Linked DNA regions of Ovis aries. The protein of the gene in region 2 purifies or fractionates together with the protein of the main gene of each other region. This does not show direct contact. Links are inferred from orthologs where the notes say so. Each region holds a gene or a part of one and is shown on either strand. Other genes may lie near its edges. The genes, in order: KLC2, KIF5B and KLC3.

Evidence for each region.
Region 1: the proteins of KIF5B (region 2) and KLC2 fractionate together in Homo sapiens (co-fractionation; 7 studies listed by BioGRID and IntAct, with this or other methods). This does not show direct contact. The link is inferred for Ovis aries from reciprocal best matches to the Homo sapiens genes KIF5B and KLC2.
Region 3: the proteins of KIF5B (region 2) and KLC3 purify together in Homo sapiens (affinity purification with mass spectrometry; 3 studies listed by BioGRID and IntAct, with this or other methods). This does not show direct contact. The link is inferred for Ovis aries from reciprocal best matches to the Homo sapiens genes KIF5B and KLC3.

Annotation. Positions count from the first base shown.
Region 1 is NC_056074.1:40,746,590-40,750,234, reverse strand, and holds part of KLC2 (kinesin light chain 2), read right to left. Parts: intron 2,995-3,645; coding exon 2,764-2,994; intron 2,609-2,763; coding exon 2,539-2,608; intron 1,881-2,538; coding exon 1,658-1,880; intron 1,035-1,657; coding exon 947-1,034; intron 860-946; coding exon 758-859; intron 669-757; coding exon 495-668; intron 401-494; coding exon 301-400; intron 1-300. UniProt on the Homo sapiens protein: Kinesin is a microtubule-associated force-producing protein that plays a role in organelle transport. The light chain functions in coupling of cargo to the heavy chain or in the modulation of its ATPase activity.
Region 2 is NC_056066.1:32,694,312-32,698,056, reverse strand, and holds the start of KIF5B (kinesin-1 heavy chain), read right to left. Parts: upstream 2,680-3,745; 5' UTR 2,274-2,679; coding exon 2,148-2,273; intron 2,123-2,147; exon of another isoform or gene 1-2,122. UniProt on the Homo sapiens protein: Microtubule-dependent motor required for normal distribution of mitochondria and lysosomes. Can induce formation of neurite-like membrane protrusions in non-neuronal cells in a ZFYVE27-dependent manner.
Region 3 is NC_056067.1:52,758,518-52,762,262, reverse strand, and holds the start of KLC3 (kinesin light chain 3), read right to left. Parts: upstream 2,271-3,745; 5' UTR 2,177-2,270; intron 1-2,176. UniProt on the Homo sapiens protein: Kinesin is a microtubule-associated force-producing protein that may play a role in organelle transport. Plays a role during spermiogenesis in the development of the sperm tail midpiece and in the normal function of spermatozoa.

The DNA.
Region 1 (3,645 bases), on a different chromosome or scaffold from region 2:
GAAGGTGGCTTCCCAGAGGGGAAGACATTTGGGCTGGGCCCTCCCACTGAGCATGTGTTGCCCAGTAGAGCAAGGGGTAGAAGCTCAAAGCTGAGGACACAGGTGTGCACAGGGAGGGCATTGCATGGATCCAGCCCCCTGGAGGCTGTGCCAGTGGGGGGGCGTGTGCTCACATGTGCACATACATGGCTGCGGACCAGCCAGACACCTGGCGCGAGGCCTGCCCAGCCGAGGTGTCTGCCGTGGATGCTGGTGGCTGAGCTGGCCTGCGCTGGGTGAGCCCCCGGCAGCCCTGCTCACCGCTGACAGAGCCGAACTCCTTCTCGTGAGCGCGGGTGAGGATCTCCTTGTACAGGGCCTCTGCATCCTGGTACTTGCCCTGCTTCAGGTAGCAGGAGGCCTGGAGGGGCAGGGCCCAGAGGTGAGCAAGATGGAAGGAATTGAGTCTTTTCCCCTCCTCCCCCCTCCTCCAGGCCCCCTCCGCCCCAGGACACCAGGTTGTTCTTGGTCTTGGCCACGTTGGGGTCGTCAGGCCCAAGGCGTGTGGCATAGATCTCCAGCGCGCGCCGGTAGTAGTATTCCACCTCCTCGGCTTTGCCCTGGTTCTGGCACAGTAGGGCCAGGTTGCTCAGCTGCTTGGCCACGTCTGGATGAAACTTGCCCAGGACCTAGCACCAGAGGAACCAGTGGCTGGGCTCGGGGCCAGCCTAGGGGCACCCCCAGCCCACCTGGCCGGCCCTGCGCTGCCTACTCCCACCTTCTCCCGGATCTCCAGCGCCCGCTTGCACAGGGGCTCAGCCTCCTTGTACTTGCCCCGCTTGCCATACAGGACTGCCAGGTTATTCAGTGTTGCAGCCACCTAGAGGAGGGGAGAACAGAGGCTCCGTGACCTGGGCCCTGCTGGGACCTGGGACCTACAGAGGGGCGGGGAGGAAGCCTCACTCACAGCTGGGTGGTCCTTGCCCAGAGTCTTCTCGCGGATGGCCAGGGCATCATTGAGCAGGTGGGCAGCCTCCTTGTACTTGTTCTGGTCCCTAGGGGCAGGTGCGAGCTGATGAATGGTATCCTCCAGCCCAAGGCCCTCCTCCCCAGATCCCTGGGGTCACTCCTTCTGCCTGTTCTGATGAGTGAGCACGATGGGGGTATGACCCAGGGCACTGAGAAACATGGTCAGCCCCTGCCCTCCGGCTTGGCGGGCTCTGGGCAGGAAGCACATGCAGTGCTGGGGTATGAGCCAGACACCCCCCATGCCCTGCCCTCACTGCCTCGTGCCCAGTGTTCCTTGTGGTCTATTCCCCAGGGCCTCTGCTCCTGCTGCTCTTTCTGCCAACAAAACTTCCAATCCCCTTACGTTTTGGGCAAACTCCACTTTCACCAGAGGCCCGCCTCAAGCCTTGGTGTTGGAGAGGCTGTGCCCAGCGCGCTTGTATGTTGCCCCCTCCCCAGTCTTGTCCAAGCCCATTTCCCGCACTAGACTGAGGCATGATGTGTAGCCCAGGCCCTGCTGTGGGCTCAGCCCTCTCTGGGGACAAGATCCTTCTGTCACCCAGCTTGCTGCCTAGTGGAGCCCGAGTCCTGGCCCACTGCAGGCACCAGTGCTTTGTCATCCCCAGGAAGAGTGCTCCCACAGGTGACCGTGGTCGGGGGGGTGCCTCACCGGTAGACCAGCGCCAGGATGTTCAGCATGGTGGCCACGTCCGGGTGGTCGTGGCCCGATGTCTTCTCCAGGTCCTCCAGGGCCTGCTTGCAGAGGGGCACGGCCACCTCATAACGGCCCTGGGAGGCGTACTGGATCACCAGGTTGTGCAGGGTGCGCAGCCGGGCCGGGATTTCATAGCCCCCGTGCTGGGCGGCCACATCGCCTCCTCCAGGGCTGGGGGCTGCAAAGCCAAGGAGGGGAGGCCAGATGTACCCCCTGAGCTGGGGGGCAGCTTTGACTGATCACACCCGTGGCCCTGGGCAAGTCACTGTCACCCTCTCTCACTTTCCGCATCTATAGAGAGGGTCCAGGCAAGCCACAGAAAGAGAGGGTGGAGGCCCAGCTCTGGTACTTCAAGCCATGTGGCCCAGAGCAAGCCGCCTCGCTCCCGAGAGGAGCGGCCGCCACCTCATCTGCAGAAGGGAGGCTCTGATTGGCACAGGAAACATGAGCAAGGCCAGCACTGGCCCGGGGCTCCAGCCTGGGGTTCAGTGCTGCGCGTGCGTCCTCCTTTAACCCTCGGGGGAGGCTCGGAGAAGAAAAGAAACTCTACCAGCGGTCACAGACCAAAGAGTGCAAGTCAGGGCTCGCACCCAGGCCGGGCGGCTCCAGGGCTCTGAATTGTGATGCCTGCTCCTCACGGAACTTGAGGGGATGAGAGAAGCAACAGGTAAAGCCAGCCTTTTAAGTGCTCATGCTGGGATGTTATGATCAGAAACGAGGCAGGGAAGCACCTGGTGGTCACTCAGTCAGACCTCGTTTCCTGTGACCTCTGGGTCCCAGGGACTGGTTCACCCAGTCTTCTTTTCCCACCCCCAAAGCCAGCCGCCCCTCTGCACCTGGGTTCTGCTCCTCCTCGCTGGGGAACAGGTCATCCAGAGAGTCTTTGGGGACATCCCCCTTGTCCTCCTGGGGAGGGAGACAGGATGAGCGTCAGGGAATGTGGGCAGCCCAGGGGTCAGCAGGCTGGGTGGGAACTGCGCTTGTTCCCTGGCACCTCCCCTGGTCCTGGACCTGCCCCCCACCCCCCGCAGTGGCCTTGCAATGGCTACACCGGGGCTTACGTTGGGGGGGGTGTCCTCATCCAACTTGCGGATCTGGCTCATGAACAGCAAGTGCTGCTTCTCCTCTTCGAGCTGGGCCACGGCCTGCTCGCTGCGCTGCAGCTTCTGCTGCGTCCCCGCCAGCTCCTCGCGCAGCCACTGGTTCTCCTGCACCAAGCGCCGCACCTGGGCCCGCAGTTTCTGCTTCTCCGACTCCACGGCCCCCAGATGGCTTGAGAGCGCCAAGATCACCTGTGGCAGACAGCCAGAATGGAGGTCAAAGCCCTATCCACCCGCCCCCACACCATGCCCAGCCTGGGCCTCCTGGGGCCCAGAAAAGAGCCAGGCCTGGAGGAGCTGCCAGCCTGAGGGTCCCAAGTTCTCTCATTGACAGAGTTTTGCCCCAGGGCCCCAAACAGACCACACACAGCCTGAGACCTGAACCCAGGAGGCTTGGGGATCCCCAGCTCCTTCCTTTTGCAGTAGGGACCCCTGGGCTCCCAGGCTGGCTCTGCTAGACTCTGAAAGAACCCATCATCCCCTTTCCTGGGGCCTCCAGCTAGCCCTCCGCATAGACGTCCAGTTGTTCTGATCATGAAGAGCGCTGACTGGGGTGCTGCCCGTTCTCCAAGCTGGCCGCTCTCTTCCTGTCTCTCTGAGGAGTTGTACTCAAGCCCTGTAGCCAGAGCCACTAAACCACTGCCCCTGGCCCAGGGCTAGCACTTTTCCAAAGATTCCTGAGAGATGGCTGAAAGGATACCAAGAGACCCCATCCTGACTTCTGCCCAGGGGCCACCTGCAGCTCCCAGGGAGAGGAGTATGTGTCCTAAACCCCTGGTTTTCTGGGGAACCAGAGAGGCAGGGAAGGGGATGCAGGGGCCTCAGCTCCCATCCCTCTTCCCC
Region 2 (3,745 bases):
AAAAAAATTTTTTAAGAGAGATCTCAGAGTAATTAATGACTTCTACATGCAGAAGACTGGTTTCTGAAACTAATGAACTAAACATGTCGCCTTACACTTTCTAAAGCTCTATCACACTCAGTTGTCATATACTTCTGCTTATACTTAAAAAAATAAAAACCCGAAACGACTAAAATGCTTACCAGTTTATGTAAAAGTCAACTAACTGTACATTACTGGTTTATGACTAAATTACCTGTCCATGATGTTTAATATCACCACTTGAATTGACTTAAGTACTAAGGAAACCTAAGTAAGGAACTTAAAATAACTTTATCCAAAGGAAAAGAACCTAAAATAAATGTGTGCTTCCTGTGCTAATTGTTTATTTTCTTTTAACTCTTTCCTCCTATCTTATGTCATATTTGGCCCGCAACAGAAGGCTATCTTCTAACCTAACCATAAAACATTTTGTGAATCCTAAATCTTACCATTACAACAAATAAATTTTCATAATACTATAGGTTTGTGTAAATACCCACATACAAAAAAAAATCTGAAGAAATAAAACAGCCTTAACACAAATCTGAAAGGAAAATAGCTTGGTTATGTCAACCACTATAGAGGCTGAGTAATCACAAAAATCATATGAGAAACTAACAGCCTACTAGTGTTGGCCAACTAACAATCCAGGCCTAGTGAGCATCCTCTAAAATCATGTGAAATATCTCATCCTGAAGGAAAAGGATGATTAGTTTTGTGTATAACTTCTTGGCCTCTCCATGATGTCATGTATAGCAAGGGTTTTTCTGTGGACTTGTTAACAAAGAACCAGCCTGACAGTCTTCACACAGTAAGAGCTGGCAGTTATTAGGAACCTAATGACTTGTTTGCCAAAACCCTCCCAAGCAATGTGGAGCTATGACATTAATCTTCTAGAGCAGAACTTGGAAACTTTCACATAAAAATTCAAGGAACTTGAGTTCTGTCTTACATGTCAATGCTTCTAACCTTCAATGTTCCATCTCCTGTGATACTTCTGTCCCATTTCTACATTAAGATATTTAAACTTATGCTAAATGGTAAGGTGAAAAAGTTAACACTAAAATTGGGAGGCGTGATAGCAATGTAGAAAGATGGCATCAGCAAGAAAGAGGAATTTAATTTTTTGTCAGAGTTCACTGTTCTGTAGGCAGTTATCTTACTCTCCATTTTAATCTCCTTGAATTGGGAATTATTTTCAAGACCTTTCACGTTATGTTTCACGTTACAAAAGACATTATCTCACCATCTTTGTGATTATCGAAGTCATTTTTCTTCAAGGCAGATCCTAATTGTAGAAGTAGGAATCTGATACTAACAAGAAATCTAGTTTACTGATTAAATTTTTATATATATATATTTTTTAAGTTTGCTTTTATAATATTTTGATATACACACGAAAAGTTAACACTCTTTCCCGGAGTGCTACCCCATAAAACCCAGTTAGTCTCTTGGTTACTTATTTAACCCAGCGTTGATCGGCGAGATCCGTTGGTGGATGAGACAAAATCGAGCGCTTCGATTTCTAAAGAAAACTCCTTTCTACAAGTCCTGGATTAGCCATTTGTGACTGTAAACTCAAAAAGCGGGTTGGGTGAACACTGAAGGTACCAGCATAACTGCGACTGTTAGTTATGGTTTTCCTTCTCCACGGAGGAAACAAGACGGCCTAACGCACCTTAAAGATTTCTTTTAAGACTAAATATCATTACTATTTAAAGTTCGGTAAGGCAGATCCCAACGTTCTCGGCCGAACTCTGATTTATGAATGATAAATCTGAGGGGAAGGGGGTCCGACACACCGACTACATCTACATCAGAACCTGCAGGCGCACAGAAAGCCGGCGAACGAGCACTCAACTGGTTCCCCGACAGCTCCACCCGCGCCCCAGGTAGGGGAGTGCCCGGGACCCAGGGCGGGTGCCTCCCGTCCCCGGCGCTGCAGACCGGGGTGGGGAGACCCCGGAGCACCCGACGAGGCGCCGAGCCCCTCCCCTGGGCCGTCGGACCCCACTGGGGAGGCTGGGGCGCCCCAAAGCTCGCTCTCCGCTCACTCCCCACTTCTCTCAGCTCCCGGGGCGGCCGGGCCCGAAGGAGGGAGCCTGGGTGGGGGCAGGGGCACTCACCGCGATCATGACCGTGTCTTCTCCCTGAAACTTGGCGATGTACTTATCGCCGCGGTTCACCTCCGACTCGTTGAGCGGTCTGAAGCGACACATCACTTTGATGTTGCACTCGGCCGGGTCCGCCATCTTCCCGGCTGCCGGGGCCGGAGGCCGGGAGCCACTCCCCGCCGCTCAGTCTTGGAGGAAGTAGGCCGAGCCGAGGGGGCTAGCGTGGCGAAGGCCGAGGGCCCGCGGTCCGCAGCGTCGCGCTTCACCGGCGGGGCGGCCGGGACCTGGGCGGCAGCGCCCGGGCCGGCACGGTCACCCACAGGCTCACTTCCGACCCATCATGGCAGCCATGGCGGCGGCGGGGCCTCCTCAGCTTCTCCCTTGACTGGCGGGGCAGGTTGCTGGGCTGACGGATCCCGGAGACCGGGAGCGCGAGCCCCCCTGTCTTCCTGGGAGACAGCAGGCCGAGCCCACCTTCAGCCTGCCCGGCTGTCGGCTCGCCGGCTCGCCGGCTGCAGCCTGACCACTCCTGAGGCCGCGGACTGGCGGCGGGATGGGCGGCGCGGACGGAGAACTGCGCACGCGCGGCGGACCGGCGCCCCGGCGACCAATCCGCGGCCGCGCCGCTGCTCCACGCCGGGGTTGCAGGGCCAAGTTACCGGACGCGCAAGCGCAGAGTGAGCTATCGACCCCGCAGGGGATTCCGCGGAGTTAAGCGATGCCCTAACGTTTTTTTCTGTAGAGGACAAGGGACCTTGTTAAAAGTGCTTGACGTTGTAGTTTAAGTGAAAAACTATATTCCTGTTAGGACGTGTTCGCTTTCTGTTTTGTCTGGAGATACATTGATTTCTAGCCCACCTTTTTAGAGCGCTTTGCCAGAAAAAGGAAGATTTGAATGAAGGGCGGGACGTGGCTTATGGTTCAAGTGGTTGCTCATTCCTAAGAGAGGGGGTTGGGGGACAGGAATAAGAAAAAGGAAGTTTCGTCTGAGGACTAGAAGGTGCTGAAGAAAAGTGCAACAGTAGGGTAAGGTGGGAGAAGACCCCCGGAGAACTGGCGGTCCCAATGACTCCGTAATAATCCTATGGAACTCATCAGTCTCCACATCTGGAGTGTGAAGACAGAAAAACTGCAAAGACGACTAGGACCGCTAATCCTAGTCCCCGATTTTTGTTCGTAAAATGGAAGAGTGTAGGACTTACCTAGTGCTCCAGTAGTTAAGAATCCGTCTTGCAATGCAGGGGGCAGGGGTTCCATCCCACGTGGAGAAACTAAGATCCCACCCAACATGCTGCTGCAGCGTGGCCAAAAATTTAAAAAAAAAAAAAAGAGGCGTGTACTATTGTTTAGTCGCTAAGTCGTGTGGGACTCTGCAGCCCCACAGTCTGAAGCACCCCAGCCTTCCCTGTCCTTCAATATCTCCTGGAGTTTGCTCAAAGTGATGTCCAATGAATCAGTAATGCTGTCCAACCATCTCATCCTCTGCCGCTACCTTCTCCTGCCCTCAATCTTTCCCAGCATCAGGGTCTTTCCCAATGAGTCAGCTCGTCGGATCAAGTGGCCAAAATATTAGAGTTTCAGCTTTAGTCCTTCCAGTGAATATTCAGGGT
Region 3 (3,745 bases), on a different chromosome or scaffold from region 2:
AATCCATCTGAGAATGTGGGAGACACAGATTCAATTCCTGGTCCGGGAAGATCCATATGCCACAGAGCAATAAGCCAGTGTACCACGACTACTGAGCGTGCGCTCTAGAGCCGGGGAGCTGAAACTGTGGAGGCCAAGCGCCTAGAGCCTGTACTCTGCAACAGGAGAACCCACCTCGACGAGAAGCCCACGCAGCAAGGAAGACCCAGCACAGCCAAAAACAAACCAAACGATAAGAAGGAGAAATAAAACGCCAGACAGAAAACAACGTATGGTTACCAAAGGGGGCAGAGGGTGCGGAGGGATAGACTGGGGTTAACATATACACATGTAAAATCAATAACCAACAAGAATCTACTGTAAACCTCAGGGAACTGTGCTCAATATATTATAATAACTTACAGTGGAAAACAATGGGAAAAATAAAGAGAAAATCCAACCGAATCACTTTGCTGCACCCCTGAAACTAAAAGCCAGCACACAAATAAACCCCCCTCCCTCACCCCTCTTCACTTGTGAAAATGAAACCCAATCCCAAGTCACTCCCATTCGGACTGTCTCCTTGAACATGCACTCTCCCACACCTCCACATCCTGCCAGCGCCAGCCCTCCATCCCACGCCTCCCTCCCTCTCGGCTCCCAGGACTCGCGGTGGACCTGTCATCGTTCCTCCCCGCTTCCTCCACCGCCCCTGCCCGGCCACACACAGACACACTAGAGTTTCACGCACGAATGTGCGAATGACCCGATGCTGGCTCCTACACCTTCGCAAGCGGGTGCCCACGGCACAGACACACGGAGACACACAGAGTTCCACGTTCTCATGCACAGACTCGCAGGCTGACTTCACTCCACCCGTGGCATCCCCGAAAGCAGCGCTGCGCTTTTCACACCTGCGCACATGCTCACAATCACATCCACTCAGACACAGAGCAAGGGCAGGTGTGCAACCACAGGGGTTTTGCACACTGCAGGCTCTCCACCCCGAATCTCCCTCTTTCCCTATGTGTATGTGTTCACGCACATATCGATCTCCATGTACGTTGTACATGTGTGTGCGTATATCACATCAGACTTATTAACAGCTTCACACCTTACACGCAAGTCCTATAAATGATCACTCACGACCACGCCAGTTCATTGAGTCATCTTGACAACCATGACCCTTATTCACGTATACAACCTCCTACAACATCAAGCACAACCTCGAACAGCTGAGTCGACTGTTCCAGACACGGCCTCATAGAGTACCGCTCACAGAGATACATACAGCTCGACCACAGCCACGCATCACTCGGACTGTCCTTGACACGTCTCCCACACTCACACATCCTCCCAAACAGCACACTCCCCTTCACCTGCTCAGCCTCGTGTGTACCAGCACACAGCTGACCACAATAATCAGTCACACTCCACACATCCATCCTGTACCCCACAGCACACACCTCCCTGCCATCCCCGCCCCCACCAGTCTTACCATCAGAGAGACAACCACGGCCATGCAATTTCTCGGTCACATACCTAACCCTATAAACAGTTCAACTCTGCCAAACACACACACACACACAGCATTACAGACTCACCATCAGAGGTGGCCCACATTTTCACACCACTGAAAGTTTCACATCATTCACACGGTCCTTTGGTGCCCTCGCAGGGCTAAACGGACAGGCCATCCCCGGTACCAACCTGTACCCACATCTGTACGCACCGTTTGACACCATCACACACATCTGAGCTTTCTACACCATCTCTCGTGCACACTCACGCCCAATATCCACGCACATATACACTTGCAGCGGGAGTGTATGGACCGCTCCCCAAACCACACAACTTACCCCTGGCCGGCCGGCTGAGCCCCGCGCACCCCGGTTTCACAGCCCGCCAGCCTGCCAGCCGGCCGGGCCGTCACAAGGGCCCCCTCCCTTTCCCAGGCCCCGCCCCGTCCTCGCGCCTGTTTACCTGCGCCCCGAGAGAGGGGGCGCGGCCCCAGCGCGCCCTCCAGACCCGGGAGAGCCCGAGAGCGGGACAGGGGGCGTCCAGGGACCCCAAGGCCCGTCCCCGTCTCCAGGCCATTGGTCCCAGGGGTGTGCCAGGCCCAGCCCACACCCTCTGCCCCCGCCTCCATCCTCTCGGCTCCTGGGACTCCCCCCCACACTCCTGGCGCCCAACTGACCGCGAACGGCTCCAAGTCCCGCTTCTCCGCGCTGCGCACGCACGGCCGCCGCCCGCAGCTGCGCCCGCAGTCTCCGGCCGCGGGCGGCTCCTCCGCGGGGCGGGGCGGGGCGGCCCGCAGCCCCGCCCCGCAGGTGAGACCGGCCCCGCCCGCCGCTCCTGGAAAGTTAAGCCCAGCCGCCCCAGCGCTGCGGGAGTAGCAGAGCCTTGTGCGCGCGTTTAGCCGGTAGTCTCTGCGGCACGTCGAATCCGAGATGATTGCAGGCGCGCGGGAAATGAGAGTCTCCGCGAAACTAGAATCTTGGAAACTCGAAATCTTAGAAACTTTACATCCCAGACGGATGGCTTTCTTGCAAGGCCAGCCTCCGGCCCTTCGCCTCGGCTGTGCGCCCGCTTTGGAAATCTCTCCACATACATCTCGACGCTTGTCCTTTTTCAAAGGCCGTTTCCTCCGAGAGGCCTTCCTTGCCGCTTCTAAAATACACCCTTCCCACCGAAACACAACCTCATTTATCTGCTTGATTTTGTTAATAAATTTTTTCAGGACCTAAAATTATATAACATTATAATTACTGTGTTATGTTACATCAGGTTATTGGCGAGGCTAAAAATCTGGCTCTGAGTTCACATCATGTTTCACCATTTACTGGCTGTGCAGGCTTTGGACAGTAACTTAACCTCTCTGTCTCCGTTTCCCTGATCTCTAATGGATTAGTCAAAAGCTGTGAGGACTGAATGCCTTAATATATGGATTGGAAGCATTTAGCAAATATTAGCTGCTGATTTTGTGGTGTTATATTATTGGTTCGGCTTTCCAAGCGGAGCTAAAAAAAGAAAAACCACCTGCCTATGCAGGAGATATAAGAGATGCGAGTGCGATCCCTGGTTTGGGAAGATCCCCTAGAGGAGGGCATGGCAGTCCACTCCAGTATTCTTGCCTGGAGAATCCCATGGACACAGAAGTCTGGCAGGCTACAGTCCTTTGGGTCACAAAGAGTCAGACACAACTGAAGCAACTCAGCACAGATGCATTATTGTTCTCCCCCAGGGAAAGGTGTACATCAAGGCTGTATATTGTCACCCTGCTTATTTAACTTGTATGCAGAGTACATCATGCAAAATCCTGGGCTAGATGAAGCACAAGCTGGAATCAAGATTGCCAGGAGAAATATCAATAACCTCAGATACACAGATGACACCACCCTTATGGTAGAAAACGAAGAGGAACTAAAAAGCCTCTTGACAATAGTGAAAGAGGAGAGTAAAAAAAAAAAAAACTGGCTTAAAATTCAACATTTAAAAAACTAAGAACATGGCATCTGGTCCCATTACTTCATGGTGACTAGATGGGGAAACAATGGAAACAGTGACAGATTTACTTTCTTGGGCTCCAAAATCACTGCAGATCTTGACTGCAGCCATGAAATTTAAAACATGCTTGCTCCTTGGAAGAAAAGCTATGACCAGTCTAGACAGCGTATTAAAAAGCAGAAACATTGCCAACAAATGTCCATACACTCAAAGGTATGGTTTTTCCAGTAGTCATGTATAGATGTGAGAGTTGGACAAT